Linked DNA regions of Anolis sagrei. The protein of the gene in region 1 purifies or fractionates together with the protein of each later gene. This does not show direct contact. Links are inferred from orthologs where the notes say so. Each region holds a gene or a part of one and is shown in the gene's direction. Other genes may lie near its edges. The genes, in order: VDAC2 and FAM162A.

Region 1 (15,492 bases):
CAGTGGACCCATGTATCTATTAGGATTTTTTCTAGGACCTACATGGATACCAAGATCCATGGAATGTGGTATCTATTATATAGAATGGCGCAGTACAATGGTCCTTTATATAAATGGTAAACGGGTGCTGGGCAGAACCTGTGCAGTGGGAAAAAAACTATAGCAGAGTATGCACTGAACAGGGTTGTGTTCACTGGCTACAAAATCAGGGGTTGCTTTTGAGAATTAAAAATATATTTTCAAGATATGGTTACTGGAAGACATGAATACAGAACCTGTATTTATGTCTTCCAGCTGATTTACAACCCTCCTAACGTAACATATGCTAACATAAAACCAACATATAGACAAACATTTTGCACATACTATGGTCAAATGCTTTGCTGAATCATATGGTTTTAGTAGAGGTAGCATGAGTGGCCATTTTGAGAAGTATTGTATTACTGCCTGGTACATGAATCTGCCTAATCATCTAGATGAAAGGTAGAATTTAATAGACTGTTTTTTTCCGCCTGCTCCTGTTCAACTGCTTTAGACTTTTCATTGTTATGCTGAGAAATAAAACATTTGCATATTCTAAATCTTCCTATACCCAGTTTCATTGGATATCTGAGTTGGATGACATGATCTGAGTATTTTCAATAGAACTTTGGGGATGGGGATAATTAACTTTCCAGATTACTGATTTCATAGAAACCATTCTAAGGTATCTTAACTCCTAATTAAAATGCAGATAACTCAACACTTAATGCAATTAATTTATTTAGGTCATTAGTAGTGCTGTGCGATTGATGAAATTTTTTTTCAAAACTCATTACAAAATTACGGGGTGCTGGCATTTCATTTCTAAAGTGTTTCTAAAGTAGCGTTAGTGAAAATTTCATTACTATAATGAGAATAACAACATTTCATTGGTTTTTCATTATAGCAATTGCTCAAGTGGGGAAATTTCAGGGTCTTTTTTCTCATTTTGACAGATATTTGAGGCGTAATGTGCTACAATGGTAGAACACATTTACCACTGTTAGCCCATCACATTTCAGAACATTTCACATATCCACAATTTTGGGGGGAATGTCCAAAGTTTTTATAAACATTTATAAACAAGATCCATCTCCTTGAATTTTCTATACAGATTTTCTGGATTATATGGCAGTGTAGACTCAGATAATTCAGTTCATTATCATAATTTGAATGATCTGCTTTGATAATCTGGATTATATGGCAGTGTAGAAGGGGCCCGAGCTGTTTCTGAGCACACCAAGACTGCAATGATTAGAGTCTCAGCCCAACCAGAATAGAAGCAAAACATGTTCTGCTGTTTAAGTTAAGCATAAAAAATACATGGTTCGGAACACTGGAAATGTCCTTCTAAAAAGTCAAGACATTGGCTCATCTAGTCCAGTGTTGTCTACACTGAGAGGAAGGAATGCCTTGTGATTCCAGATGGGACCATACTTAGAGATGGATCTGAAGGATTTTCTTGCAAAAAATGTAATCTGCCAATGAATTAAAAAGCCCTTCCCTAACAGAATATGTAACCGAGGAGATTGGGCATTTGGAGGGTTCTCTCAAGCCTACAACAATTCTTCATCCATTCTCACAGTTAGTAAAGGATACCCCTTTGTCCAAGCTATCTGAGGTCCCATCAGAAGCTGGCCCTTGCCCTCACAGGCTTAGTACTGCCACTTTTACTCTAGCAGGTACTACACCTTGTGGATCCCTGCTTATTGTACAGATATATAGAGCACAGGGGAAAGCAGTATGCCTTGGAGTGCTGCATCTTTAAGAAGTATGGAAAGAAGTATTTCAGGTGTGTTTTTACCACCAGAGTGCAGCAAGGATAGAAGTTAAGTTAAATAGTTTTTTCCCTCTGAGCAAATAGTTGCACTTCATTCTTAGATGAATTTGTTGGAAGTAAATCCCATTGACCTCAATGGGATGTATTTATAAACAAGAATGCATCTTGATGTTATGTTTATTTACTCAGGAGTAAGTTGCCATCGAGTTTAAGAGGACACTCTCAGATACTTACATACTACACAGGATCTCCCTGAGGATCTGGCAGAATTAAAGCAGAAACTTCCATTCTGTAAAGCCAAACAATGTTTGGGCTTGTACAAGAGTAACCTGATACCCTGAAGTCCAGATACAATGTTTGGGTTTGTACAAGGGCAACCTGATACCATACAGTCTATTCTTACTTTGACGAAACTCCTACTGAGCTCAATATAATACTTTCATGTAAGTGATCTAGGAGAAATTTTAAGTTCTGTCATTTTAAAAACTTAACCATCCCAGGGCTATATAAACGGCAAGATACAGGTATTTGTTACTTAAGTCATAGCTTTCCTTTGTTCAATTACAACAGTCCCCTTAATCTTTTTGTTAAGACAGGGGGAGTAGAGTATATCTTCCTCACTACAATAGGGCAGTAAAGTGCTAAAGTCTATCAGTTTAGCAGGCTTTGTGGCTTCAGTCACGTCAGGAGTTGCTGAAGAAACTGAACCCCTGTGCTATTTTTTCTCATGTCGGAGAACCTACCTTTCTTTATGTCGGAGGGTGGAAAAACAGAAATGATAGAAGAAAAGAAAAAGAAGAAGAAAAAGAAAGGACATAAACATACAGGTAAAGATGAATGTAATGGAAAATTTCATTCTCTTTCTCAAATTGCAGGATTGACTCGGTGTGGGAGAGTGAGTGAATGAGAAATAAGATGGGGTGGGTACCTGAGGCATTTTGGAGGGCTTTGGTGTTAGTAAAGGGCTGTGCTCTCCACATTTTGTAGGGAGGTTGGAAAGAGTGTGAGAAAACCTGTGGTGGGGTGTAGACCTCTCTGACTTTCCCAAAAGCCCCTACCATGGGTATGTCACCTGGGACGCACTCATATGCCACAATGGGCAATCTTGATACTGTCTGAACCTCATTTAGTTTAGTCACTGATTGGAACTGTATTACGATCACCTGCATACTTCTAAAACACATAAAAGAAAAAATACACACTATGAAGCATCAACTGCTTTTGCGACTGAGAATACCACTCCTAAATAAATGATATATCCTAAACATGCTTAATGAGATGTAAGTTCCATTGGTTCAATGATTAGCCAGTGATTTAATTCAATTGAGAAACTTTCCACAGAGTTGCAGCCTAACGTTTCACAATACATGATTTGAAAGCCAAACTCTACGAGGAGCTGTTTAGGGAGCTGGGTATGTTAAGCTTGGAGAAGAAAAGGCTGACAAAGGACATAATAGACATGTTTAAATATTCCACCTAAACATGAGGAAAACATCTTAATGTGAAGAAAAGTTAAACCAGTGGTTCTCAACCTGTGGGTCCCCAGCTGTTTTGGCCTACAACTCCTAGAAATCCCAGCCAGCTTACCAGTTGTTAGGATTTCTGGTAGTTGAAGGCCAATACACCTGGGGACCCTCCCTCACAGGGTGGAGGAATCTCCTTCCCAGGAGGTTTTGAAGCAGAAACTGGATGGCCATCAGTTGAAGGTACTTTTGAGTGTTCTTGCATGGTAGCAGTTTGGACTGGATGACCCTTCTAGTCCCTTACAACTCTATGATTCAATTATTCTTTAAATTTTTATTTGGCCAAAAGTTTGAAACACATGACACACAAAGTTATAAAGTGAACTTTAAAGGGATAGTTTAAAGTAGGAAATCTGTGGTCGGTTTTGCTTAACCCTTTCTCATCTCACTATAATATTTGCATAATATGCCATCATTCAGGAAGTATAACATGAAAATCCTAGCTCCATAGACCTATTTTCTAACCTTATCCAATTTGCTTTGTTTCCCTTGATGGATAAATAAAGGGGTTCCTATGTTAAGACAGCACTAATTTAACTCCCCCATGTTTCAAGTCACTTCAGATCTTTTTCACATCTCAAGCAAACTTGAGATGTGAAATGTGACTCTCCCCATCCAGCCATCGATCCATCCATCCATCTATCTATCTTCTCTCCTACTTTTTAACTTTTAAGTGTCCAAGTTTCAGTCTCCTTCTCCAATTCTGTCTTTTTTGACACCCCTCCCCATATTTTATTCCGTTTTGATGGCAATTGCTGGTGAAACTGAAGGTGTACGAGGCACCTTGCTGCAACCTGCTCACTCTCTCTCCATCACATGGAGGCATTGGGACAAGGCACATTGGTGCCCTGTCCCTGCCTCCATCAGATGGGAGAAAGGCATGAAAAATGTGGGTAGCTGCACTTGAGCTACCCAAAACACAAATTACCTCCCGCTGTTGTTGGTGAGGAAGTGTCTTGCAATGCTTCCTCACCACTTTGGCCACCAATGTGGGGGGGAGTCATGGCTTGCATCATGTGATGGTGCTTGGCAGGCCCCATCCCTGAAGAGGACCAAGGAGCTAAAAGAACCTTGTGTGATGAGGTAGTTTCAAAGCAAATTGCAAAAATTGTTTATACTGAGTAAACTGAACGGGTGGGAGTGGAATTAGGTAAAAGCAATCAATCTTAACTTATATTACTCCTCATGAAATAGCTTGAAATAGCTTGTGCTACCTTTACCACACACGTTACTTGGTCACATGTGTTTTGTGAAATGCTAAAGAGTACTTGGCAGATGCTGCGCACTGAGGTTGGGTATAAGACATGGTCCTCAGAGCAGGAACCAACTACACCTACCAACAAGGACACTTCAGGCTCATTTCAGTGACTGAGAGGAATGGAGCCCATCACATGACGTTGAACTACTTCCGGTTGTCATGTGTTCCCATCTCTAACTGAAATGAGCATGAAGGAGGGAGTTCCCTCCAGGGGTGAGTAATCGTCTTGTGAGCTGCTACTGCAATTTGATCCTCTCTTTAAAACAAAAAACACGTGGGATGGGAAGTATCCTTCCCTGTTTTGGTTCGTTGCTGCAAACAGAGAGCAGTGTTTGACTGGGGAGAATCAGCAGATTAAAGAGAGAAAGATAAAAGAGGTTTTTCGGCTGATAGAGAATGGGGAAAGCAGGGAGGACATGACAAGCCTTCCCCATGTGATGAATGTGAAGGCGGGCAACGTGGGGTCAAGAATGCTTCAAGAAAACAGTGGGATGGGAAGCAGTAAAAGTTTCACAGAGCGATTTGCATTCAAAAAGCGTTTTTCCCATCGCTATGGGGACAGACCCCCACGCTTCTCTACAAATCCGTAAGTCCATGTGATGAAGTCCCTAGTTTGCGTGTAATATCCTTCCTTTCAAGGTCTAAATATGCCTCATATTCCTTTGCTGGTTGGGATGAATAGTGTCGCTCCTGGACAGAATCTATAATCTATCAAGAGTGCAGACACAGTTTGTATCTAGAGATACAAACTGTTGTTGTGAACCGCTGTGAGTTGCCTTCGGGCTGAGAACAGCGGTATATAAGTAAGGTAAATAATAAATAAATAAATAAATAAATAAATAAATAAATAGAGAGCCACATTTTCATTACTTGTATCAAGACTGCAAGACAAAACAAAATGCAAGATTTTAAAATAGAGATGCAATCTTGGCACAATAAACAAACATATTATCACGTGCTGGTATATATAATAGCCCCTTTTACTAGATCTAACAAACATGTGGAGTATGTATTTTATTTTTAAAAAATATTTGCCTCTCTTTTTGAGCGTTTTCATAGAATTTTATTATTTCAGTTCAAGACTGCAAAGGCTGATAACTCTAGTCAATAGGGTTTTGGCTTTATGTTTTGTCTGGCAGATGCCTGCTAAGCTGGTATTATGTAATGATTTTGCTGACTGAGGGCTTCTGCCAGTCCCTCTGTCTAATCTCTAAATGATGCCTGTGTTTTGGTTCTGTTCTATGACATTTCTGTGCATGTTTTTTAATGTCAGGATCCTAATAAATCGGTGTCCTATATATTTACCTTGGCCCAATTTGCCAGCTTCTTGACCTAGTATTCCTCTTGTGGTTACCTGGGGCGCTCTCACCTCTGAGCTTCTTTGAAGTGTTTGTATAATATGTTTCAACAATTTCAGCTTTTAATCTCAGAGCTGGCTATTAAACCCGCTATGACATCTGGTTAATGTTGTTGCCATTTTGTAAGGTATTTTTCCAGCATCTTGATGTGGATTACAAAGCTTCAGCAGGCGTTCCTTTTTAAAAATTATATTGGTAGGGAAGTAGTGAGCTGGAACTCTGTCACTGGTCTTCCAGCTAATGACATAGAAAATATGTGACACATCTGTTGTAAACTCTGTACAAATGTACTAGTTGTAAAGGTCCTGTGTGGAATATTTCCTGGGTGGAGGTAGTGGTTTGCATTCCAATAGGATTGTACACTTTAATTATTTTTAAAACACTTGTGGTGGGTTTATGGCCCGTGCACCTCTCATTAGTATGCTCTATTTTGCTTCGAGTATGCACATATTCTCACACTTTTCTTTCCTAGTAAAGCAGGCCAACACAATTCTATAATTTACTACAATGAAATGCAGTCTGACGGGCTCCATAAACCTGTTTTAGCCACTTGCCCAGGGCTGCAAAAATTAGGAGGGTCAGGATACTAGCAACAGGATTGTTTGTAATGCATTAAATTTCTTAATGTTGTTATTTACATAGGCCTATTTCACAGGGCAGGTATGACAAAAATTATTTTACTGAGTAATAAAATGTACCATCTGTGATCCAACATGGACTGAAACATCCAGAAAAGAAATATTATAGCAGAACGTGTTCAATATTTTTAAACGGTATTGGGGAGAGGAAAAGGATAAATCAGGGAGGTTGGGGAGGGGGTAGAAGGGGTAATTTCGACTTCCAGTTGTCTCCGTATCTGGCTTCATAGTTTCTTTGGTTGATATTCGGAAGAGCAGCTAACCCTTTTCCAGTTGTAGTATTGTGTTATATTAAATTGTATTCAATTATCACTATTACTTATCATCCATTTATAGGGTTGTTGTCGGTTTTTTCGGGCTATATGGCCATGGTGTAGAGGCATTCTCTCCTGACGTTTCGCCTGCATCTATGGCAAGCATCCTCAGAGGTAGTGAGATTGGGGGGGGGGGTACCTCACTACTTCTGAGGATGCTTGCCATAGATGCAGGCAAAACGTCAGGAGAGAATGCCTCTACACCATGGCCATATAGCCCGAAAAAACCGACAACAACCCAGTGATTCCGGCCATGAAAGCTTTCGACAATACATCCATTTATAATTAAATGTCCTTGTCCTTTGCTGAACATAGCATTTGTTGGATTTTTTTAGTGGGTCTGTAGATAGTTTGTATGTTGTGTTTCCTCATCAGCTTCCCTATGTGGTCAATGGTTCCTTTGATGTATGGCAAGAACACTTTTCATCTGGGTGGATCTTTGTCTTGACCCTTGTGAAGTCTCAGCCTAGTTTTACCCCTCTGTTTATTTCTCTGTTTGCTCCCTGGAGGTGGACTGTTCCATTCTGCTAAGTTTTAGAGTAGGAGCTTAAGATCCCCCTAGAGGCCGAGCTCTGTTGGTTCAGCCCATTTTGGCTCAGAGCCTGGTGGAAGGCCTTTTCCCCTCCATCCTTCTTTGACTGAGCTTGTAGTAGTTAGCCAGAAAATGTCTGGTCTGGCTTTGCAGTTTGGAACAGGCAATCCTTAGCACGTATTTGCCTCAGAGACCAAAGTTTATAGATGTACATGCCAAAGACCTAAGCAGTACATGTCCCAGAGTTTATAGATGTACTTTCCATAGAATATAGATGTATATGCCTCCATAGAGTATAGAAGAATATAGATAGTATTTGCCCAAAGAGTATAGAAGTGTATGCCTTATAGATTAGAATTGTACCATCATAGAGAATATTATTTCATATAGTTTGTTCTTTACATCAGTTGTACCTTATACCTGTACCTTACTATTCTAATTCTATACCATCAAGAATCAAACTACACTTTTGTATACCTTGTTTTGATTCACCTTGATTATTCAGTAAACAATTGGTTAAATTTAGTCTCGTCTCTAGAGTTTTATTTTGGAGATATTAAAGTACATATAGGGCAGGGGTCCTCAAACTAAGGCCCGGGGGCCAGGTGCGGCACTCCAAGGTCATTTACCCGGCCCTCACTCTGGGTCAACCTAAGTATGAAACTACTTGAAAGCACACAATAACAACAACATTCCTATCTCATCAGCCAAAAGCAGGGCCACACTTTCCATTGAAACTCTAATAAGTTTATATTTGTTAAAATTGTTGTTCGTTTTAATTATTGTATTGTTTTAAAATGTTTTTTGCACTACAAATAAGATATTTGCAATGTGCATGATTTTTTCGAATTATAATCCGGCCCACCAACAGTTTGAGGGATTGTGACCTGGCCCTCTGTTTAAAAAGTTTGTGGACCCCTGATATAGGGCATACTGATGGTCACTGGGAAAATAGCCGGACATTTTCTTATCAGTCTTCCCAGCGTGTCATCACAACTCTTGTGGCTTGTTCTTGGTCTTGCAGCTGATGTCTGAGGTGGAGTATCCATTGGCCTGTAGAGCCCAGTTGAGGTGATTCAGTTCATCTTGAAGGAGGTGGGCTTCGTAGATTCTGCTTCTTCTGCTGGAGAAGCAATGCTGCATTCCCTGCAGATCTGGCACACAATAGAAAAGGAAAAGGCTCTCTTTATGTAATGATTTTTGGTTGTTTAGATAACCTGTGACATTGAGCTCTGGGCCAGAGAGGTTGTTTCTTAAGGTAACATTGTATTTGATTATGTAAACAGGTGTGGTTTACAACCAAAAGTTCAACAGTTGTGCTCTGGATTTCCCATCAGCCCTTTGCATGGTAATGAATTATCCAGCTCTTTTGTTCTTTCCATAATGCAGTTTGGTTTCATCTTTTTTTAGGATGGTGTCTTTAGCCCTGCCAGACCTCCATAGACCTCAGCCAGGCCCCAAGCGTCCAAGCCATTCAGTCCATTCTCCAGGCAGCCAGGGCGGCTCTGTCCCTCCTGTGGCGGGGTTTCCTTGGCGAGGCGCGCGCCCAGGGCACGAGGAGCGCGTTCTGCACGTTCCCTCACACAGCGCATGCCCAGAACGCTCTGCTCCTCCCGCCCCCCTCCCCCCGTTATGCAAGCGAGGCCACGCCCCGGCGCTTCTTCCTCGTCCCCCTCGCTCTCCCGCCTTCTCTCTTGGCCCCGCCCCTTTGTTTCTCCGCCCCAGGCCCTGCTGTGGCTGAGGACCTCTCCGTTACTCTCGCGGGGCATCCTACCGCAGTGCCTGACTAATTAGAGAATACCCTCAGGGCGTCGTTTCCCTTTGTATTCTCTCAGCGGCGTTTGCGCCTCGATTTGGCCCCCTCGCTGAGGTGACTGCTTGGATCCCCAAAGGCAGCGGCAGGGGTTCGGCACAGGCGCCTGCCAGGGCCACCCTCGCTCTCCCTCGGAGGGTCCTTGCGTGCAGGCGGGCGGCGAGCGCGAGGTGTCTCCTTCACTTCGCCCTCCAGCGCGGCCTTCACGCGGCGAGAGGAAAGGAAGCGCGCGCGCGAGAAAGGTGCGATATAGAGACGCTCCTGCGCCCTTTCCCCGTGTAGACAGGTAGGCGGGGTTGCCATGGAAACACGGCGGGCCCCGCGGGGGAGGGGGGTCTTGGTGCTCGGCCTCCCAATTGGTGGGGAGGAAGCGAGGGCTCAGGACCCTCCAAGAGAGGCTTCTCTCTGCATGGAATTGGCGCTGCTCCAAAGCCAAGGCCCCACTTTGGAGACTCCCCCCCCCCACACGTTACTTTCCCAACAGCCTTGCGAAGTTGCCTCACCCCCCCCCCCCCTTAGGAGTGCCCCTCTCTTTGCAAAAGTCTGTTCCTAGTATTTCCTCAAAGCCTTGTGTTCTCCCAATAAGAACGAATGGACATGTGATCTGGGCGGAAATTAAGGCCTAAACACAGTCGCTGGCCTCCATTAAAGTAGTAGGCGTGTGGAGTCGATTAGTGAGTGGTGAAGCAATATTCTCCTCGGGGTCTCCAACTGGATTTAGGCCTCTTCCCTTCTTTCTGCCTCTTTCTCCCCTTTTTGGGTTAATTAGTATAAGTTCTAGCCAAGCTGCCTTTGGTGGAATTATCCTTGGAAAAGGGGGATACTTCATTCTGTCTTATTCCTTTGCTCAACTTCTGTTTCCTCTCCCTGTCTTTTAAGTATGTCTGTAACCTGCATTTTTAATCCCCGGGCCATTGTTCTTGGCTCTCCCTCCTCTTCACACACTCAGCCTTCTAAAATTGCAGCCTTGAGGGAATTGGTTACTCCTCTCTGTGCTTCTTAAATGGTTTAAGCTTTTTTTTCTTTTTCAGGTATTCTTTTCTTGTGACCTGCTGTTACCTCCAATTTCTGTTCTCCTCTTAATATAGATGTCTTTTCTTTAATTTGCAGCAAGAGCAGCAGCAAAAGAATCCAGCTCTGGGAGAATTTGAACTTTAACAAGAGGAGGGATATGCTCTTCGTTTGTTGCTGTAGAAAACAATAGAATAAGGGACCGGGGATATTTAAGGGGTCGCCAGTCTGTCTCTTTAAGATGGCGGCATGGAACAGGTCACACTGCAGTAATTGTAGGAATGTCCTGGTTCCCCTTCACTCTTCTGCCCCTCATTCACCTGTGCATCGTTGCAAAGCCACAATCTTATCCCATAAGTGGGGCAGAGGCAGCTTCTATGATAAGGACTTAGATCTGTTTGGAAGAGTTTTCCAAACATTTCATGTTGGTGACACCCTTTTTAGACATGCTTCCTTTTTGTGACACAGTAATTGAGTTTTCCTGACAAACCAGAGTTTAAACCAACCCCTTACAAGAGTTTCTTTCTGTTTCTCTCTCTATATATATGATTACACACACACACACATATAAGATCTATGTTAAATAAAGTATAATATATACTTTTCATATAAACTATACTGTATAAACAAGGTTTGGATTTTTTACACTTATGTACTACAGTTGATCTTGCGTAGTTTCCTCTCCACGTGCTTCATCACAAACATTGTTAAAAATTTTTTTCTTAATTAGACATTTATGCATTTTAGTGGCAATTACTACAACACAACCAATTACTCAAATTATAAAGGTTAAACAGCACTTACACTTGAACAATACCAGACTTTGTTTGTTGGGGTGGGTGTGGGTGGGAGAGCATTTTTCATGCTATACACCTAGGGACTACAGGTGACATATGAGTGTATCCCAATACAGTTTGGAAAGCTCTGATCTAATTGTAATGCAAGATTTTAAAAATTACCAATGCTGAAATTGTTTATACTCCAGTTAACTTGCATTTCTATAATTTTCTTAAAAATCTAATTCTTCCCATTTTATAGATTTTCTAAATTGGAGTAGATAGCTATGAGTTTTAATCCAGCATGTCATCTCCCGTCAAGAAGTAAGTAGGGACATAGTTAAAGTAAGGATGTTCAAGTAATTAAACTAATATGTTGATAAGTTTAGTCATCGAAAAGTTTGAAGGGAAACTAATATCTAACAAAACAGTTCATTGATAATCAGAAGAAGTTGACTCTTTTTGGTAATATTAAGTGCTTGAAATAAGCCTATGTGCCATTGAACTGCCTTAAATGAAAATTTGCTTCCATCTGTTCTGTGTCTTTCTGCATGTTCTACTTAATAGATGGAAACTAGAGATATTTCCAAAGCCTTCTAAGAATTACTTAGGAGTGTTTTGAGATAAGGGTGAGGAGGAGTTTGAAAGAAAACTTCAGTGAAGGGTGCAGCATTATCCAATCTTCATGAAATTTAGTTTTAATTGTCATGCATCTACCTGCTTTTGACTAATATTTGCCTAAATTTTGCATAAAGATTTATTTGTCTCACTTTACATTTATGTTCCAGTTGGGGGTCTACTTAAAATTGAAAACTGTAGCCATTTGAGACAAGAAGAAGTTTTTATATGACTGGAAGATAACATTAATGCATAACTTGAAATTACTTCCGTGTATTTTAATTCAGCTTACTATTAAATAACTTTTTAGACTGAAACATTTTATTGCATGATTATTATTATTTTTGCAAATTTATGTTTTTATCAGCTTCTCTGCATTTTGGAGAGAGAATAGTATTTCGGCTAAAAAGTTACATACAGTAGTAGGAAACGGAACTTATGAATATGCAAATCTGAAAAATCCAAAATACTTTTGGTCCCATGCACTTTGGATAAGAGGTGCTCCACTTCTACCTCTTCTAAACCGAAAAAAAACAGGAAGAGGTGATGGTACTTGGAACCTTAATTTGCCTCCCAAGTTCTCAAGTTGCTGATCTTTCAGGACATAGAAGATATTTCAATTATTTAGTCCCATCTAATAAAACTAGACAAGTAAACCCACACAACTGTGTGTGACTTTAATATACAGATAATACAAGGAAAGAAATCCTTATAATATGTCATTGTCAGACTGTAATGATAATATATACTGAACATTGCTGTATGTTGAATGCAACCACTGAATTTTATTATTTACTGTAAAGGATGTGGTGCAATCCAGGGATGCTTTATCATGCTTGCCTTAAGATTTACAGTAGAATTAATCCTAATGTGAGGATATTTTCTCTGCACAATAAGGCATGGCAGATAATACTTCTATGCAGCACAGCAGAAAAACTAAAACAGGGACTTTGTGGTTGGGTAAGCATTCCAGAAGTGCCAAAATACTCCATTAATGTCAAATGCCACCCCCGCTGCCCATTTCAGACTTGCTCTGTGGGTGGTACACTTACCTTAGCCTTTAGCTATGCTCTCAGAGCTGAGCAGCCAACTCTACAATGATTTATAATATGATGATCAATGAATTGCAGATGGAAATAATGCTAAAACATTGACCAGAGAATCATAGATTCCAATTAGTTTTAGGATTCTCTTAAAACTTGGCATCTGTAACATTGGTTCAAAGTACTCAAAGAAAACAAAATTAAAGATCATATTTCTTGGATATAGAGTCTCATTAAGGTATACCCAGGAGTACCTGTTGTCCAGAGAAAAACATTGTATTCCAATATCAGCACATCAGTACTTTAAAAGTTGAAAATAATAAAAAATAATAAATGCGGCAGCAGGTCATGGAGTGCTAAACGGTGGTGTTTGTGTGTCCCCTGAATACCATGCAATTTTTTGTGATCTCTATTGCTTCTTCAGATTCCAGGCATCTGTCAACAAAACTGCATAACAAAATGAACAATTTTCTTGTGTGACAGTAGACCTTAAACAGTAAAGAGGATATTGGATTTTTCTAACATTGTGCAGCTGTTACTCAGCCTTGTTGTGAAATAAGCTTGTACCATTGTCGGATACAAACATTTGTTTGCAGGAATTTAATGTATGGAGTGAGAAAGAAGAGACTAGCAAAAAGTTTGTCTTTTGTATCCAAAAAGTGTGTCCTAAATATCCATAAAATATTTGGGCGTTCTGGTCTGAAAAGGATGTCTTCTTTCATTATCTTCCGGTTGTATAGCCTTTCATATTCTTCTTTTTAAAGAAAAAATATTAAATAAATGTATCTAACCATGAAGCAGTACGTTTACAGTATGTATCTTATTAGTTGTCCTCTCTGGACACCTACCTACAAATATTTTTTTAAAAAAATCAAATATAATTACAAGTGGAACTAACAACTGTAATGATAAAGCAGTTTTGTATTCACTGCCATAGTAAAACATTGGAATGTTTTAATGTTAAAAATAAATGCAGTTAATTTTTAAAAGAAAATTCAGTACTGATATGTCTTTTTTGTTTGTCAGCAACTCCAATGGCTATCCCACCAGCATATGGAGATCTCGGCAAGTCTGCCAGAGACATCTTCAACAAAGGATTTGGTATGAATTAAATTTGTGATAGATGTGGTATTGTCCATGTACTATTGTTGCCAATCTTTGTCCCATTTCCCTTCATGGTGTTGAACAAAGTAGTTTCAGGGAGAGAGAAACAGTATTATGGCAAACTACCATTTCTTGGAGGACTGAGTCAAGGTTGAAGGCCAGTTTTTGCCCTTGTGCCTCTCAAGGGCACTGCAGAGATGTGTTTACTCTTAAGGTGGGAGTGGCATGATACCACTTCTGATTTTGTTTTCAGCAGCATCTGGGAATGTCACCAGGGCTAAATTAAATAAAACTGCTGCCTTTGGAATTATTTGCTTTTGCACTATTGAACCATTTTTGACCAATGAATTGTCTGTTTTCTAAAATAATGATTCCATGTCTTTATTTATTTATTTGTGGTATTTGTATATCACTCTTCTCAACCCCAAAGGGGACTCAGGGCGATTATCGTCAGGGATTTCAGGGGTGGAAAAAAGCATGTAAGGGTGGTCTCAATTTGGACTTTCAGATGTGTCTTCTGTAGCCCCAATCACATATTTTTAGCATTGTGGTATTTGGCTTTGGGAATGGATCTCTTCAGTAGTAAGGGTTCTGCCCTCCACACTGTTTGTCCTGACTGAAACAGGAGGTAGGCGAGTTACTCCTGTCCAATGGGGAGAATCCTTACCACAAGTCAGTGGTGACAAATAGCGGGGCAGATTTTCCTTGGTGCTAATGGAAAGTTGTGATGTAGCCAGAACCTTCACTGTTTAGCTGTTGAGAGACATATGTTGTTTAAATGTCAGATTAACATGCTGCTATATTCTTGTTCTCAACCTTACAGATCATCACACCTCTTATAAAGCAAAAAAGATACTCTGTAGGAATATTTGTTAGACATTTTTTCCTAAGAAAAAAATGCGTAGAACATAGGCAATGCAACATGAAAGCCCCAGCTAGAATATTTGGACAATATTAAATAAATGTGGCTTAATAATCAGGCTCACATTGTAATGGAAAGTCATGGAAGAATATGTGTCCATAAAAAAACTTGGTTTACATTTATATTTTCCTTCTGCTGATTAAAAAAAATGTAATCACCTAGATGTAAATAAATACATCCTGTCTTTATCAGATTGCATCTGGAACGTATTGTAAAACAGTGTATATAGGACCCATTCTGAAAATCCTTTCACCCGAAATGGAACTTGAGAGTGTATTTCTCTGGACAGATCTCTGCCTCATCCCTGCTCCTAGATTCCAGTCTCATTCATTTCTCATCTGTCTTTGGCACAAGGATATGTGAAAGTGAGGAGACCTTTCTTCCTCAAACAAATAATTATATCCAGAATTGGGTGAAAATAGATTTTAATTGTGTAACCTTATTTTTTCTACATTTTATTTTTTATATATACATGCTATATTTTTCCTTGTTTTCCATCAGAACTTTTTAACATCAAAATTTTCTTGTAGTAGAACCAATATGACTCCACCTCGAAACATAGTCAAAACTCAATTTATAGTGTGGACTGCTTGACTGCTTAAGTTTTAAAAAGTGGTAGTAATTTTGATCTGTTTGTCAAGGTTTTGGCCTGGTGAAATTGGATGTGAAAACGAAATCTGCAAGTGGAGTGGTAAGTGCTTCACACAGGGAGTCATACAGCTACCTTCACTTTCTGCTTATCCTGGCTTCCCATTAGTCATTCTGGAGTTCCCTCCTGCGG
Region 2 (15,347 bases), on another chromosome or scaffold:
GTGGTGTTATTGTCTAATGTTTATTGCTATTGTTTTAATGTTTATTGCTTGTTTTATGAGTTTATTGTTGTATTTGTTATGTTGTTGTTTTATTGATGTGTTGGGCCTCGGCCTCTTGTAAGCCGCACCGAGTCCTTCGGGAAATGTTAGCAGGGTATAAATAAAGGTTTTTTATTTTTAATATTATTATTATTATTATTACCTCAATCAATGGCTAATACCAGATGAGAGACTCCCCCCTGGGCACACAGAAGACTGGGCGACTTGGAAGGCGCTGAACAGACTGCGCTCTGGCACCAAGAGATGCGGAGCCAATCTTAAGAAATAGGGCTACAAAGTTGAATCCACGACATGCAAGTGTGGAGAAAAGCAAACCACTGACCACCTGCTGCAATGCAATCTGAGCCCTGCTACATGCACAATGGAGGACCTTCTTATAGTAACACCAGAGGCGCTCCAAGTGGCCAGATACTGGTCAAAGGACATTTAATCAACTACCAAATTTGAAAAATGTGTGCTTTTTTTTATCTGTTTGCTTGTTTTGTTCTGTTAGAAATGTAATACAATGGTATGGTTGCTGATGACACGATAAATAAATAAACTACCAAGCTTGCAAACTTTGTGTTTTGTTTGTTTGTTTGTTAAAAATGCAACGCAACTGTTTGGTCTGCCCCTGACACGATAAATAAATAAATTGCTGGCTCATGTTCAGATATAATTAACAATAATCCCAGTTTTTTTTCACATGTACAGCTGTATTCCTCATCCTGCCCCTGTGGATTTTGTTTATTGTGGCTGAAATTTGCACGCATAATCCCCAACCTCTTAACTATTATTGCAAACAGCGCTTAGGACAATGTAACATATACCTCAAGTTCACAGAAACTATCTCCGAAGCATAAAACGTGTATAAGAACTTATCTTTTAAGGGATATAATATAAGACAGAATGAGCATAAGAACATTGAAATGATATCAGTCAATTATGTTCATCATTACTTTTTGACATGTCAGTTACGGCCTGATAACATATATTTTAAAAGGGGCCTATATGAGAGAAGAACAACAGAGATATTTACCGACTGGTGAAGCTCTTTACAAGTTTGGCGAGCATCAATTTTTCCTACAAAAGATAATGTTGGAACTGTAGTATTTAACTCATGGACTATTCTGTCATCAATTGTTCTCATCACTCTGAGCAATTCCTGTAGAGATAAAATAATAACAGATTTTTAACAGTCTGAGTTACACACATCTAACTTACAAATGACTCATAGTTAAGAACAGGCTGAGACAACAGGAAGTCAGAGAAATGTGTCCCTCAAAAGGGCAATTCACTCCTGAAAGAGTTATCATGGAGAAAAGGTGTCTCCACTGAAGCTTTTTCACCAAACCTTTTTTCCACAACAAGCCAAATTTTCAAGTTCCAATTGGCACAGGAACAGAAAGTGAGGTCAAATCTTCTGAACAGCAAAACAAACGCCACAGGAGTGTAAACTCTTCCCTATGCTATCCAAAGATACACAGGTAATCCAAAATATCTGCTTTGAATTGAAATATCTGCGTCTACACTGCCATATAATCCAGTTCAAATTAGAAAATGTGGGATTTTAAACAGCAGTGTAGAAGGGGCCTCAATTCTTAGACAATATTGTGGGATTTTCTGCCTTGACATTCTGGGGCCCCTTTCTTGTATAAAATCCCATATTATCTGCTTTGTACTGGTTTATATGGCAGTGTGGACTCAGGGCCCTTCGACACAGGCCTATATCCCAGAACATCAAGGCAGAAAATCCCACAATATCTGCTCTGAACTATGTTATCTGAGTCCACACTGCAATATAACCCAGTACAAAGCAGATAATGTGGGGTTTTATTCAGTTGTGAGGAAGGGCCCTCAGATAACCCAGGTCAAAGCAGATATTGTGGATTATCTGCCTTGATATTCTGGGTTACATGGCTGAGTGGAAGGGCCCTGGGAGAAGTGTCTCAATCTGTGTAAAATGACTGAATGTATCGGAATGCTCCTTCTCTGGAGCAGAGGCCGAGGCCCCTTCTACACTGCCATATAATCTTGTATCTGATCATAGAGTTGGAAGAGACCTCGTGGGCCATCCAGTCCAACCTCCTGCCAAGAAGCAGGAAAACTGCATTCAAAGCACCCCCAACAGATGGCCATCCAGCCTCTGTTTAAAAGCTTCCAAAGAAGGAGCCTCCACCACACTCCAGGACAGAGAGTTCCACTGCTGAACGGCTCTCACAGTCAGGAAGTTCTTCCTCGTGTTCAGATGGAATCTCCTTTCTTGTAGTTTGAAGCCATTGTTCTGCATCCTGGTCTCCTGAGAAGCAGAAAACAAGTTTGCTCCCTCCTCCCTGTGGCTTCCTCTCACATATTTATACATGGCTATCATGTCTCCTCTCAGCCTTGAGAACATGCCCAGCTCTTTAAGCCGCTCTTCATAGGGCTTGTTCTCCAGACCCTTGATCATTTGAGTCGCCCTCCTCTGGATACATTCAAGCGTGTCAATATCTCTCTTCAATTGTGGTGCCCAGAACTGGACACAATATTCCAGATGTGGAAGGAAGATTATCTGGGTTGTTGTAGGTTTTTTCGGGCTATATGACCATGGTCTAGAGCAGTGGTTCTCAACCTGGGGTCCCCAGATGTTTTTGGCCTTCAACTCCCAGAAATCCTAACAGCTGGTAAACTGGCTGGGATTTCTGGGTGTTGTAGGCCAAAAACATCTGTGGACCCCAGGTTGAGAACCACTGGTCTAGAGGCATTCTCTCCTGACGTTTCGCCTGCATCTATGGCAAGCATCCTCAGAGGTTGTGAGGTCTGTTGGAACTAGGAAAAGGGTTTATATACCTGTGGATTGACCAGGGTGAGACAAAGAACTCTTGTCTGCTGGAGCTGGGTGTGAATGTTTCAACTGATCATCTTGATTAGCATATAATGGCCTGATAGTGCCTGGAGCCAACTTTTGTTGAGAGGTGATGAGATGTCCTTGTTTGTTTCCTCTCTGTTGTGCTGTTGCAATTTTAGAGTTTTTTTTAATACTGGTGGCCAGATTTTGTTCATTTTCATGGTTTCCACAGGTATGTTGTTCATTCGTTCAGTCGTCTCCGACTCTTTGTGACCTCATGGACCAGCCCACACCAGAGCTCCCTGTCGGCCGTCACCACCCCCAGCTCCTTCAAAGTCAGTCCAGTCACTTCAAGGATGCCATCCATCCATCTTGCCCTTGGTCAGCCCCTTTTCCTTTTACCTTCCACCTTCCCCAGCATCATTGTCTTCTCTAGGCTTTGCTGTCTCCTCATGATGTGGCCAAAGTACTTTATCTTGGCCTCTAATACCCTTCCCTCCAATAAGCAGTCCGATTTTATTTCCTGGAGGATGGACTGGTTGGATCTTCTCGCAGTCCAAGGCACTCTCAGTACTTTCCTCCAGCACCACAGTTCCACAGGTATATAAACCCTTTTTCCTAGTTCCAACAGACCTCACTACCTCTGAGGATGCTTGCCATAGACCTCATGGGTTCAATACACAATAATGTTATATAGTATTTAAAAAACTCTAAAATTGCAACAGCACAACAACAGAGAGGAAACAAACAAGGACATCTCATCACCTCTCAACAAAAGTTGGCTCCAGGCACTATCAGGCCATTATATGCTAATCAAGGTGATCAGTTGAAACATTCACACCCAGCTCCAGCAGACAAGAGTCCTTTGTCTCACCCTGGTCATTCCACAGATATATAAACCCCTTTTCCTAGTTCCAACAGACCCCACTACCTCTGAGGATGCTTGCCATAGATGCAGGCGAAACGTCAGGAGAGAATGCCTTCCACACAGCTGAAAAAAAGACCACATTATCTGCTTTGAAGTGGGACATATGGCAGTGCGGACTCAGATAGAATAATAGAATCAAAGAGTTGGAAGAGACCTCATGGGCCATCCAGTCCAACCCCCTGCCAAGAAGCAGGAATATTGCATTCAAATCACCCCTGACAGATGGCCATCCAGCCTCTGTTTAAAAGCTTCCAAAGAAGGAGCCTCCACCACACTCCGGGGCAGAGAGTTCCACTGCTGAACGGCTCTCACACTCAGGAAGTTCTTCCTCATGTTCAGATGGGATCTCCTCAATTCAAAGCAGATATTGTGGGATTTTCACCTTGATATTCACTTCACTTTATTTCTTAATTAGTCGCTCTCCACCAAGGTGCTCCGAGTGACTTACAATCTAAAATAGCATTTACACAATATTAAAACATTCAACATAAAAGCATTCAACAGTGACTATTTGGCAAATTAGATCTGATTACTCAAATGCACAACCAAACAGCCAAGTCTTGAGTGCCTTTACATAAGGTCGCAACTCCGACATTGCTCTAATGTATGGAGGCAATGAGTTCCACAGAATTGGAGCATAGGTCGAAAAAGCTCTACGCCTTGTAGCTTCCAAATGTGCCTCCCTAGGGCCCGGTACGTATAGGAGATTTTCCTGGGTGGATCGAGGTGACCATTGATGGGGAAAAGGAATGAGGCGGTCCCTAAGATATAAAGGTCCTTGGCCATTTTGAGCTCTAAATGTCAGGATCAGTATCTTGTACGAGATCCGATGTTCTATTGGTAGCCAATGCAGTTTGTTGCAGAATTGGTGTAATATGGGATCTTACAGATGATCCTGCTAGCAGCCTGGCCGCTGCATTTTGGACCATCCAATCTTCTGGGTTGTTGACTACGGAAGGCGTTGCAATAGTCCAATCTTGTGATGACTGTTGCGTGGATTACTGTTGCCAATGCTTCTACCAAAAGGTAGGAGAGAATGCCTCTAGACTATGGCCATACAGCCCAAAAAAACCTACAACAACCCAGTGATTCCAGCCATGAAAGCCTTCGACAATACATTGAAGATTATCTGGTTTGAACTGGATTATCTAGCAGTGTAGACTCAGATAATCCAGTTCAAAGCCGATAATGTGGATTATCTGCTTTGCTATTCTGGCTATAGAGCAGTGTAGAAAGGGCCTGGACATCTGTGGGGCGGATGTGGCTTGTGCCTCCCTGCCTGGCAAGAAGGGGGTTGGCTCGGCTGGCCTTCGGGAGTCCCTTCTAATACTTCTAGGATGTTTGAACTACACGATCCAGGGGTCGGGAGAGGCCACCGACTCCTGTCCCGTGTCCTTATGGCCTCCTCGCTCCGGAGAAACAGCCTCCGGGGCCATACCTGGAATTCAGCAAAGTCCTCACAGTTTGGATGAGAGTTGGGCGCCGCCATATTGGAGAGTCACAACCACAGCCAATCAGCGAGCGCGGCGGCGCAAGAGTAGCTCCTCCCCCCTCGAGATTGAATTGAGGCAGGACGAGGCTGCGGCTTCTGCGCCTGCGCAGGCAAATAGGCGGGAGGAGGTGGCACCACTGAGCTTTAGGTCACTTGTGTCAACTTCCGCCTTTTCCAGGCCTCGAGGGTGAACCACAGGGCACTGAGGCGCATTAAGGGCATGCTTTCATGTGCTTCTGTGGCTGTGGGGATTTCTTGTCAGGCCAAAGCAGTTTGAAGCTGGCTTCAAAGTGTTCTAAATAGTCAGTGTAGAGCACTTGCGTGGCCGCAGGCATCAACTAGCAGGAATGTGTCCAGAGGAGGGTGACTAAAATGATTAAGGGTCTGGAGAACAAGCCCTATGAGGAGCGGCTTAAAGAGCTGGGCATGCTTAGCCTGAAATAGAGAAGGCTGAGAGGAGATATGACAGCCATGTATAAATACATGAGAGGAAGTCACAGGGAGGAGGGAGCAAGCTTGTTTTCTGCTTTAATTTTATCAATATCTGTATGTATTTTTATCCTTTACCATTTTAGCTTGGAAATCATCTAGAGCATCTTGGATGGAGGGTGATTAATAAGTAATTAAATGATGATGATGATGATGATGCTGCCCTGGAGACTAGGACGTGGAGAAATGGCTTCAAACTACAAGAGAGGAAATTCCATCGGAAGCTTCAAATGGTCCAACGCTCGGCAGCCAGGTTGCTGACAGGAGCGGCACTCAGGGAGCACACCACTCCTCTGTTGCGCCAGCTCCACTGGCTGCCAATCTGCTACCGGGCACAATTCAAGGTGCTGGCTTTAGCCTATAAAGCCCTAAACGGTTCCGGCCCTACTTACCTCTCCGAACGCATCTCCACCTATGAACCGACTAGGACATTAAGATCATCTGGGGAGGCCCTGCTCTCGATCCCGCCTGCATCGCAGGCGCGGCTGGCGGGGACGAGGGACAGGGCCTTCTCGGTGGTGGCTCCTCGGCTGTGGAATGCCCTACCTGTGGACATCAGACAGGCCCCCTCGCTGCTGGCGTTCCGGAGGAAGGTCAAGACTTGGCTTTATGAACAAACGTTTGGCTAAATAGTGCAATGGAATACAGGAAGATGGTACAACCGAACATAGGAATTGGTATAAAGGATTATGATTACGGATTATGATTCTGATTTGTTGCTGAGGCGCTACGATTATGATAATGATTGTTTTTTGACCTTGTATGTCTTGTATAATGTGTTTTAATTGCCTGGATATTGTTGTGATAATTTGTATTATGTAAACCGCTTTGAGTCGCCATTTCGGCTGAGAAAAGCGGTATAGAAGTAAAGCAAATAAATAAATAAATAAATAAACATGAGGAAGAACTTCCTGACTGTGAGAGCTGTTCAGCAGTAGAACTCTCTGCCCCGGAGTGTGGTGGAGGCTCCTTTGGAAGCTTTTAAGCAGAGGCTGGATGGCCATCTGTCAGGGGTGCTTTGACGCAATTTTCCTGCTTCTTGGGAAGGGGTTGGATTAGATGGCCCATGAGATCTCTTCCAACTCTATGATTCTATTATTCTAGGGCAGTATTTCTCAACCTTCCTAATGCCATGACCCCTTAATACAGTTTCTCATGTTGTGACCCCCAAACATAACATTATGTCTTCAATGGCAACCCCACATATATAGCCATGGTCTAGGCATTCTCTCCTGACGTTTCGCCTGCATCTATGGCAAGCATCCTCAGAGGTAGTGAGGTCTGTTGGAACTAGGAAAAGGGTTTATGTGTATTATTATATGACCAGGGTGAGACAAAGGACTCTTGTCTGCTGGAGCTAGGTGTGAATGTTTCAACTGACCACCTTGATTAGCATATAACGGCTTGACAGTGCTAGAGCAAACTTTTGTTGAGAGGTGATTTGATGTCCTTGTTTGTTTCCTCTCTGTTGTTGTGCTGTTGTAATTTTTGAGTTTTTTAATACTGGTAGCCAGATTTTTTTCATTTTCATGGTTTCCTCCTTTCTGTTGAAATTGTCCACCTGCTTGTGGATTTCAATGGCTTCTCTGTGTAGTCTGACATGGTGGTTGTGAGAGTGGTCAAGCATTTCTGTGTTATCAAATGCTGTGTTCTAAAATGCTGTCCAGGTTGGTTCATCAGGTGCTCTGCTATGGCTGATTTCTCTGGTTGAAGTAGTCTGCAGTGCCGTTCATGTTCCTTGATTCATGTTTGGGCAGTGCTGCGTTTGGTGGTCCCTATGTAGACTTGTCCACAGCTGCATGGTACACGGTAGACTCCTTCAGAAGTGAGAGGATCCCTCTTGTCCTTTGCTGAACGTAGCATTTGTTGGATTTTCTTGGTGGGTCTGTAGATAGCTTGTATGTTGTGTTTCCTCATCAGCTTTCCTATGCGGTCAGTGGTTCCCTTGATGTATGGCAGCCCCTACCAATGTGCTCCACAAAACACAATACTTCGCACCACCCAAGTGAATGCTTTCAAACCCAATTTAATCCTAGGTTTTATGTGTTTCATCTACCATGGACATTTCAGTGTTTTATACTCTCTCCAATGGTGTTCAATTTGCATGATCCCTAGTTAACACACTTCATGGGATCCTGCAAATTGAGTACCAATGGAGAGTACCTACTGGCTGTTAGGAATTCCAGGAGTTGGAGTCCAAAACACCTGGAGGGCCCAAGTTTGCTCATACCTGAGCTAAACGCACAAAACTGGAGGAGCTCCATTTCTAGCTTTCAAGCATCCCGAGCTCTGAGGATTACCTGGGAAGGAATCCCACTGGAACATTGCAGCACACCCAAATATCTGGGAGCAGGCCCGTAGCCAGGATTTTGTTTGGGGGGGGGGGGGCTGAGTTTGATTTTTTTTTGGGGGGGGGAAGGCTGAGTATGAGTGAAAGAGGGTCTACCCTAGCAAACCTTTTGTATTGTTACCCCAATACCCCCATGGATATGGGATATATTGAGCATGGTGATCAGATCATGATATGAATAACATAACAGTTTCAATAATGTAGCAGTAAGGCCTTCTCGCAGACCACCATGAGAATTTGGGGGGGGGGGCTGAAAACCCCCAAGCCCCCTCCCCCCCTCCAGCTACATGCCTGCCTGGGAGTCACTCTGGACCGTGCTCTTACCTACAAGAAGTACTTTCTGAATATCAAGCAAAAAGTGGGTGCTAGAAACAATATCATACGAAAGCTGACTGGCACAACTTGGGGATCACAACCAGACACAGTGGAGACATCTGCCCTTGCATCTGCACTATGCTACTCTGCTGCTGAGTATGCATGCCCAGTGTGGAACACATCTCACCACACTAAAACAGTGGATGTGGCTCTTAATGAGACATGCCGCATTATCACGGGTTGCCTGCGCCCTACACCTCTGGAGAAATTACACTGCTTAGCTGGCATTGCACCACCTGACATCCGCCGGGAAGTAGCATCCAATAGTGAAAGGACCAAGGCAGGGACATCTCCAGCTCATCCCTTGTTTGGGTATCAGCCAGCACGTCAACGACTTAAATCAAGAAATAGTTTTCTAAGATCTACAGAGACACGCTGGAACACATCGGCAAGCGAGAGTCCAAAGGTGGCAGGCTCAAACCCAGAACCTCAATCCATGGCTGATACCAAATGAGACACAGAAAACTGGGCGACTTGGAAGACGCTCTGGCACCACGAGATGCAGAGCCAACCTTAAGAAATGGGGCTACAAAGTGGAATCCACGACATGTGAGTGTGGAGAAGAGCAAACCACTGACCACCTGCTGCAATGCAACCTGAGCCCTGTCACATGCACAATGGAGGACCTTCTTATAGTAACACCAGAGGCACTCCAAGTGGCCAGATACTGGTCAAAGGACATTTAACCAACTACCAAGCTTGCAAACTTTGTGTTTTTTTTTAATCTGTTTGTTTTGTTCTGTTATAAATGTAATACAATGGTCTAGTTGCCCCTGACACGATAAATAAATTTCTAGCTTTGGTTGCAAGCAGGCCTCCTTTGGCCAAGGGCGCGAGGCCCCGCCCCATCCGCTCCACTTCCGGCCCCTCCTCCTCGGGCAGGGGGCGGGGCCAGCCTCCCTTCAGCTGGCCTTGGTCAGAGGGCCGATTGGCAGCAAAGGAGAAGGCCGGAAGCGGCGCAATGTCGGGCCCCCTGGCCGCCGCTGGTGAGTGCGCTCTCCATTGCTGTTGGACCTTGGTCTCCGGGGCGGGGAGGAGGCCTGGCTCTGAACATCCATCCGGCCAGGCCTAGTCAAGGCGGCCAAGAGAGGCGCCTGTTGGCGGCCTTGTGCGTTTCCGGGCGTTTTGCAAGGAGTGCTCTGGGGAAGTTCTGCCAGTTCCTGCCTCCCTCAGTGGTTCCCAACCTTTGGGCCTACAGTTGTTTTGGACTTCAACGCCCAGAATTCCCAGCCATCTTACCAGCTGTGGGAGTTGAAGTTCAAAACACTTGGAGGCCCAAAGGTTGGGAACCTTTAGGGCTTTGTTGTTCGTCTCCCCAGCCAAGTCTCAACCAGTGCTGGCTCTGCTTAGCCTCCAAGAGAGAGGAACCTGGCGCCTAAGCCCTCTCAGGCCCCTTCCACACAGCTGAATAAAAGCCCACATTATCTGCTTTGAAGTGGGACATATGGCAGTGCGGACTCAGATAGAATAATAGAATCAAAGAGTTGGAAGAGACCTCATGGGCCATCCAGTCCAACCCCCTGCCAAGAAGCAGGAATATTGCATTCAAAGCACCCCTGACAGATGGCCATCCAGCCTCTGTTTAAAAGCTTCCAAAGAAGGAGCCTCCACCACACTCCAGGGCAGAGAGTTCCACTGCTGAACGGCTCTCACACTCAGGAAGTTCTTCCTCATGTTCAGATGGAATCTCCTCAGTTCAAAGCAGATATTGTGGGATTTTCACCTTGATATTCACTTCACTTTATTTCTTAATTAGTCGCTCTCCACCAAGGTGCTCTGAGTGACTTACAATCTAAAATAGCATTTACACAATATTAAAACATTCAACATAAAAACATTCAACAGTGACTATTTGGCAAATTAGATCTGATTACTCAAATGCACAACCAAACAACCAAGTCTTGAGTGCCTTTACAAAAGGTCGCAACTTCGACATTGCTTTAATGTATGGAGGCAATGAGTTCCACAGAATTGGAGCACAGGTCGAAAAAGCTCTACACCGTGTAGCTTCCAGGTGTACCTCCCTAGGGCCCGGTATGTATAGGAGATTTTCCTGGGTGGATCGAGGTGACCACTGATGGAGAAAAGGAATGAGGCGGTCCCTAAGATATAAAGGTCCTTGGCCATTTTGAGCTCTAAATGTCAGGATCAGTATCTTGTAAGAGATCCGATGTTCTATTGGTAGCCAATGCAGTTGTTGCAGAATTGGTGTAATATGGGATCTTATAGATCAGTGGTTCTCAACCTGTGGGTCTCCAGGTGTTTTGGCCTACAACTCCCAGAAATCCCAGCCAGTTTACCAGCTATTAGGATTTCTGGGAGTTGAAGGCCAAAAACATCTGGGGACCCCAGGTTAAGAACCACTGTTATAGATGCCTGCTAGCAGCCTGGCCGCTGCCTTTTGGACCATTCAAATCTTCTGGGTTGTTGACTTCAGAAGGCCAGCATATAAGGCGTTGCAATAGTCCAACCTCGTGGTGACAGTTGCATGGATTACTGTTGCCAATGCTTCTACCAAAAGGTAGGATGCTAATTTCCTTGCCTGGCAAAGATTTAAAAAGGCCTGCTTACTTATGGCAGTGATCTGGGCCTCCATCGTCAGCGATGAGTCCAACACAACCCCAAGGCTTTTAACAGTGGAAGACGGAACCAGAGCTTCCCCATCGAAGTCAAACAGAGACTGGATTAATTCTGGCGGCTGGCCAGGCAGATATTCTGGGTTATATGGCTGTGTGGAAGGGTCGTCAGGTCAGAGCTTTCCAAACTTTTCGCGTTGGTGACACACTTCTTCTGAGGATGCCCTGCTCTCAATTCCATCTTCCTCGCAAGCGTGACTGTTGGAGACGAGAGACAGGGCCTTCTCAGTTGTGGCCCCTCAGCTATGGAACTCCCTCTCTAGTGAAATTAGAGCAGCCCCCTCCCTCCTGACCTTCAGAAAGAAAGGAAAAAAGTGGTATGAGACCAAGCTTTCGAACAGCAAAGTTCATAATGCAATAAGATAATAAGGAATAGTGAATGGACCAATGGAACAGCTAAGGAATTGATTTTGGATGGTGTGATTTCAATAACTGTTTTTAAATCATGTGTGTGTCACTATAACCTGCAATGTCATTGGAGCCATTGGTAGCTCCTCAGTGGTGGAAATTATAGCTGTTTGTGGATGTGGGAGTCTCTCTGTGGAAGTGGGAGCCCCAGCCACTCATATACACACATATTTTCACTTTTATTGTGCCTATAGATAAAGATTTCACAGAGATCCAGCGGATTCTCCTTATATTTGTGTGACACACCCATACATTGCACACGACACATCATCATCATCATTATTAATGCCCTGCTTTATCTCCCCCGGAGGGGACTCAAAGCGGCTTAACATAAATGCATCAGCATAACTGTATTGTTGAAGGCTTTCATGGCTGGAATCACTGGGTTGTTGTAGGTTTTTTGGGCTGTATGGCTATGCACTAGAAGCATTCTCTCCTGGTGTTTCACCTGCATCTGTGGCAGGCATTCTCAGAGGTTGTGAAGTCTGTTGGAAATGAAATGTGGCGATTTACAAGCTAAATTGTAAAAGATAAAATACGTAATACAGAAATTAAAAATTAACAGAGATCGAATGCTCTAGTAAAAAGCCAGGTCTTAAGTGCTAGAGTAAAAGGTCCTAAGTCACGCATGGCTCTCATGTAGGGCGGCAAAGGATTCCATAAGGCAGGGGCAGAAATACAAAAAGCCCTGCGTCTGGTACTTTCCAAGTGCACTTCTCTAGGACCCGGTATATACAGTAAGTCACGTTGTGCTGGTCTTTGCGGCCTTCAATGATAGGAGAAGGAGAGGCGGTCCCTAAGGTACGATGAACCCTGGCTGTGAAGAATTTTAAAGGTCAGAACTAACATCTTATACAGGCCACGGTACTCAGTTGGAAGCCAATGTAAATGTTGCAGCACTGGTGTTATATGGCATTTCATGGGCGTTCTTGTGAGTAACCTGGCTGCCGCATTCTGAACAATACAGAGCTTTCGGGTCGTAGACTTTGGAAGGCCAACACACAGGGCGTTGCAATTGTCCAGCCTAGACATGACCGTGGCATGGATGACAGTTGCCAGAGCCTCGTCAGATAGATAGGGTGCCAATTGCCTCGCTTGTTGTAGATGGAAAAAGGCCTGTTTGCTGGCAGCAGCGACCTGAGTTTCCATTGTCAGCTGCGAATCCAGGATGACACCTAAGCTCTTAACAGTGGTCGATGGAGATAGCGCGGCTCCATCGAAGGTGGGTAGCTGATGAGCATGCCATATGTGGATATGTAGATGATACTTTCACCATTTGGAGCCATGGAGAAGAAGTAGTAAACAGGTTTCTGGACCATCTCAACAGCATCCACCCAAACATCCAATTTACCATGGAAAAAGAAAATGAAGGAAAACCACCAAGAAGGAAGGCCCTCTTTCTCGTTCCCACTAACCAAGCTTGAGATGGAGGTGGCACTGAGAGAAGGGCTTCTCCTGAAGATCCCAGGGCCCGGGCAGGTTCGTACAAGAGGATGTGGTCAGCTAGATACCCTGGATCTGAACTATTTAATAGTGTGTTACTACACACAGTTTGGAAAGATCTGCTTCTAGACTTTGTTCTGCAAGGACTATTGGCTGCCCTATGCTCTGATAGGGAGCCCCTGGTGGCGCAGTGGGTTAAAGCACTGAGCTGCTGAGCTTGTTGATCGAAAGGTCGAAGGTTCGATTCCAGGGAGCGGCGTGAGCTTCCGCTGTCAGCCCTAGCTTCTGCCAACCTAGCAGTTTGAAAACATGCAAATGTGAGTAGATCAATAGGTACTGCTCCGGCGGGAAGGTAACGGCGCTCCATGCAGTCATGCCAGCCACATGACCTTGGAGGTGTCTACGGACAACGCAGGCTCTTCGGCTTAGAAATGGAGATGAGACCACACCCCAGAGTCAGACATGACTGGACTTAATGTCAGGGGACTACCTTTACCTTTATCTTTTATGGTCTCATAAGAGCTATTGTTTCTCTTTAACTGTCCTGTGGAGTTCTGGGCTTGGCAATGTGGCCTCCACAGCTGGAGAGAGCTTTTCTGGTGTCACCTCAAACCACAAAGCATATGGCAGTTAAAGTGGAACCACAGTGGTATAATTATGTATTGTGTATGGGGCCCTGGGACTGTAGGCTGCATTCAGAGGAAGGCAATGACAAACTACTTCTGGGTATTGCTTGCTTCATGGGATTGCCTTAAATTGTCTGGTGACTTGTAGGCATATCAACTCTTCTGACTTAAGTGGAGCTCCTTCCATAGTGAAAATGTGTTAGATTTAAATTCACAAATCTGAAACTTGTTTAAGTGCTGTTTTCCCAGATCTGTCCTTCTCATTCTACATGACTATTCTTTGCATTTATCCCCCAGGCAAAGTTGTTCAGATCCTGGACAAAAATCTATTTTCTGTTCTGCGTGTTACTAAAGGATCATGTTACACACTGAATAGAAGATTATGCAGCAAAACCCAGGAGACCAATGTACAGACGTCAAAACCAGAGGCTTCAGGTAAACATCATCATCGTTTGCAACCAAATTGTGTCTGTCCTGAATTGGAAATGTATCAAAGGGGTCCAATTCTCCAAAAAAAATGTGCACAGGGTTGCAACCTTAGGTTTGTTTACAATTATGAAAAGCTGGTTAGTGGTCTTGCAGGCCTACAGTTGACCCCTGCATGTTTTTTCCTGGTCTTCTTCATGATTTAAATACTTTAAATTGGTATTATTTTACAGCTTTCCGCAGGGCATGTAAGACACATCTGGTTCGACGGGCCTTTGACCTTTGACTGCTGTTTTTTTTAATTGTTTTTAAATTGTGTTCAACTTTAGCCTGTTCTTGTAAACCGCTCCGAGCCCCAGGGGAGTGACGGCATATACATTCAAATAATAAATAAAAATAAATAAAAAGTAGTCGCCTGATTGCTTGTGAGTGTTTACACAAGTGGTTTGCTCTCTGGATAGAGTAGATTAGCTGTAGAAAACTCTGATTAGAGTGGGCTAATTGCTTTGAAGACAGCCTGAGTAGGTTAGTCTGGGGAACTCACTGCTACTGCGTTACTGTAGAGTGTGGAATTTCGCTAGTAGGTTAAGTCAAGTAACCTGTTTTAAAGAAACCATCAAGAATACTGTACTTTAGTAACCATTTAAGCTTTTGTGCCTCGTCAAAGAAGTCAGTTGTTTGTTTGTTCTGATAAATCTTTTCTCTATTTCAGCTTTTAAAGAAGCCTCAGTTGTAATTCATTCCTATGGGGATAATTCTAATTCTTTTTACATCATAACATCACAATCATTTTGGGAGCTATGGGGAGAGCTGTATTGGGATGGCAGGGAAAAGCTTACCTCAGGGAATCATCTTTAATATCTTAAGGTGTCTTAGGTGGTGGCAGTGGTCATCTGTTATACTATCCTTTCGTACAGCTTGTAAAACTTATTTGTTTAGGCTGGCATTTGAACCTTGCTGATCGAATTTTTCCTTGATTTTAATGTTATGTATTACATGTGTATATTGTGAACCGCTCCGAGCCTTCGGGGAGTGGTGGTATATAAAATTGATTAATAAATAAATAAAATCAGTCTAACAACAAAATATTTTTTCTTGTTGTATTGATTTTTAGCCCTGTTCCTGGGGTTATTTGGGGAACTGATTTAGAAAATTGTATTGTGTCAATACTGCTATTTAAATGGAGTCTTTGGTTTGGACTTATTGCTTCATCTTTTTTTCTTCCTTGCTTTTCTGTAGGAGCCTCTTTCAAAATCCCAGGACACAAGCCCACTGAACGAGAGAAGAGAATGTTGCTATGGACAGGCC

The links.
Region 2: the proteins of VDAC2 (region 1) and FAM162A fractionate together in Homo sapiens (co-fractionation; 3 studies listed by BioGRID and IntAct, with this or other methods). This does not show direct contact. The link is inferred for Anolis sagrei from reciprocal best matches to the Homo sapiens genes VDAC2 and FAM162A.

The regions. Positions count from the first base shown.
Region 1 is NC_090023.1:149,128,296-149,143,787, forward strand, and holds the start of VDAC2 (voltage-dependent anion-selective channel protein 2), read left to right. Parts: upstream 1-9,374; 5' UTR 9,375-9,523; intron 9,524-11,286; 5' UTR 11,287-11,311; coding exon 11,312-11,348; intron 11,349-13,711; coding exon 13,712-13,786; intron 13,787-15,352; coding exon 15,353-15,402; intron 15,403-15,492. UniProt on the Homo sapiens protein: Non-selective voltage-gated ion channel that mediates the transport of anions and cations through the mitochondrion outer membrane and plasma membrane.
Region 2 is NC_090022.1:170,361,451-170,376,797, forward strand, and holds the start of FAM162A (protein FAM162A), read left to right. Parts: upstream 1-9,375; 5' UTR 9,376-9,461; coding exon 9,462-9,486; intron 9,487-13,910; coding exon 13,911-14,048; intron 14,049-15,278; coding exon 15,279-15,347. Other genes in the region: protein MIX23, read right to left, coding at 1,079-1,204, 5,233-5,283. UniProt on the Homo sapiens protein: Proposed to be involved in regulation of apoptosis; the exact mechanism may differ between cell types/tissues.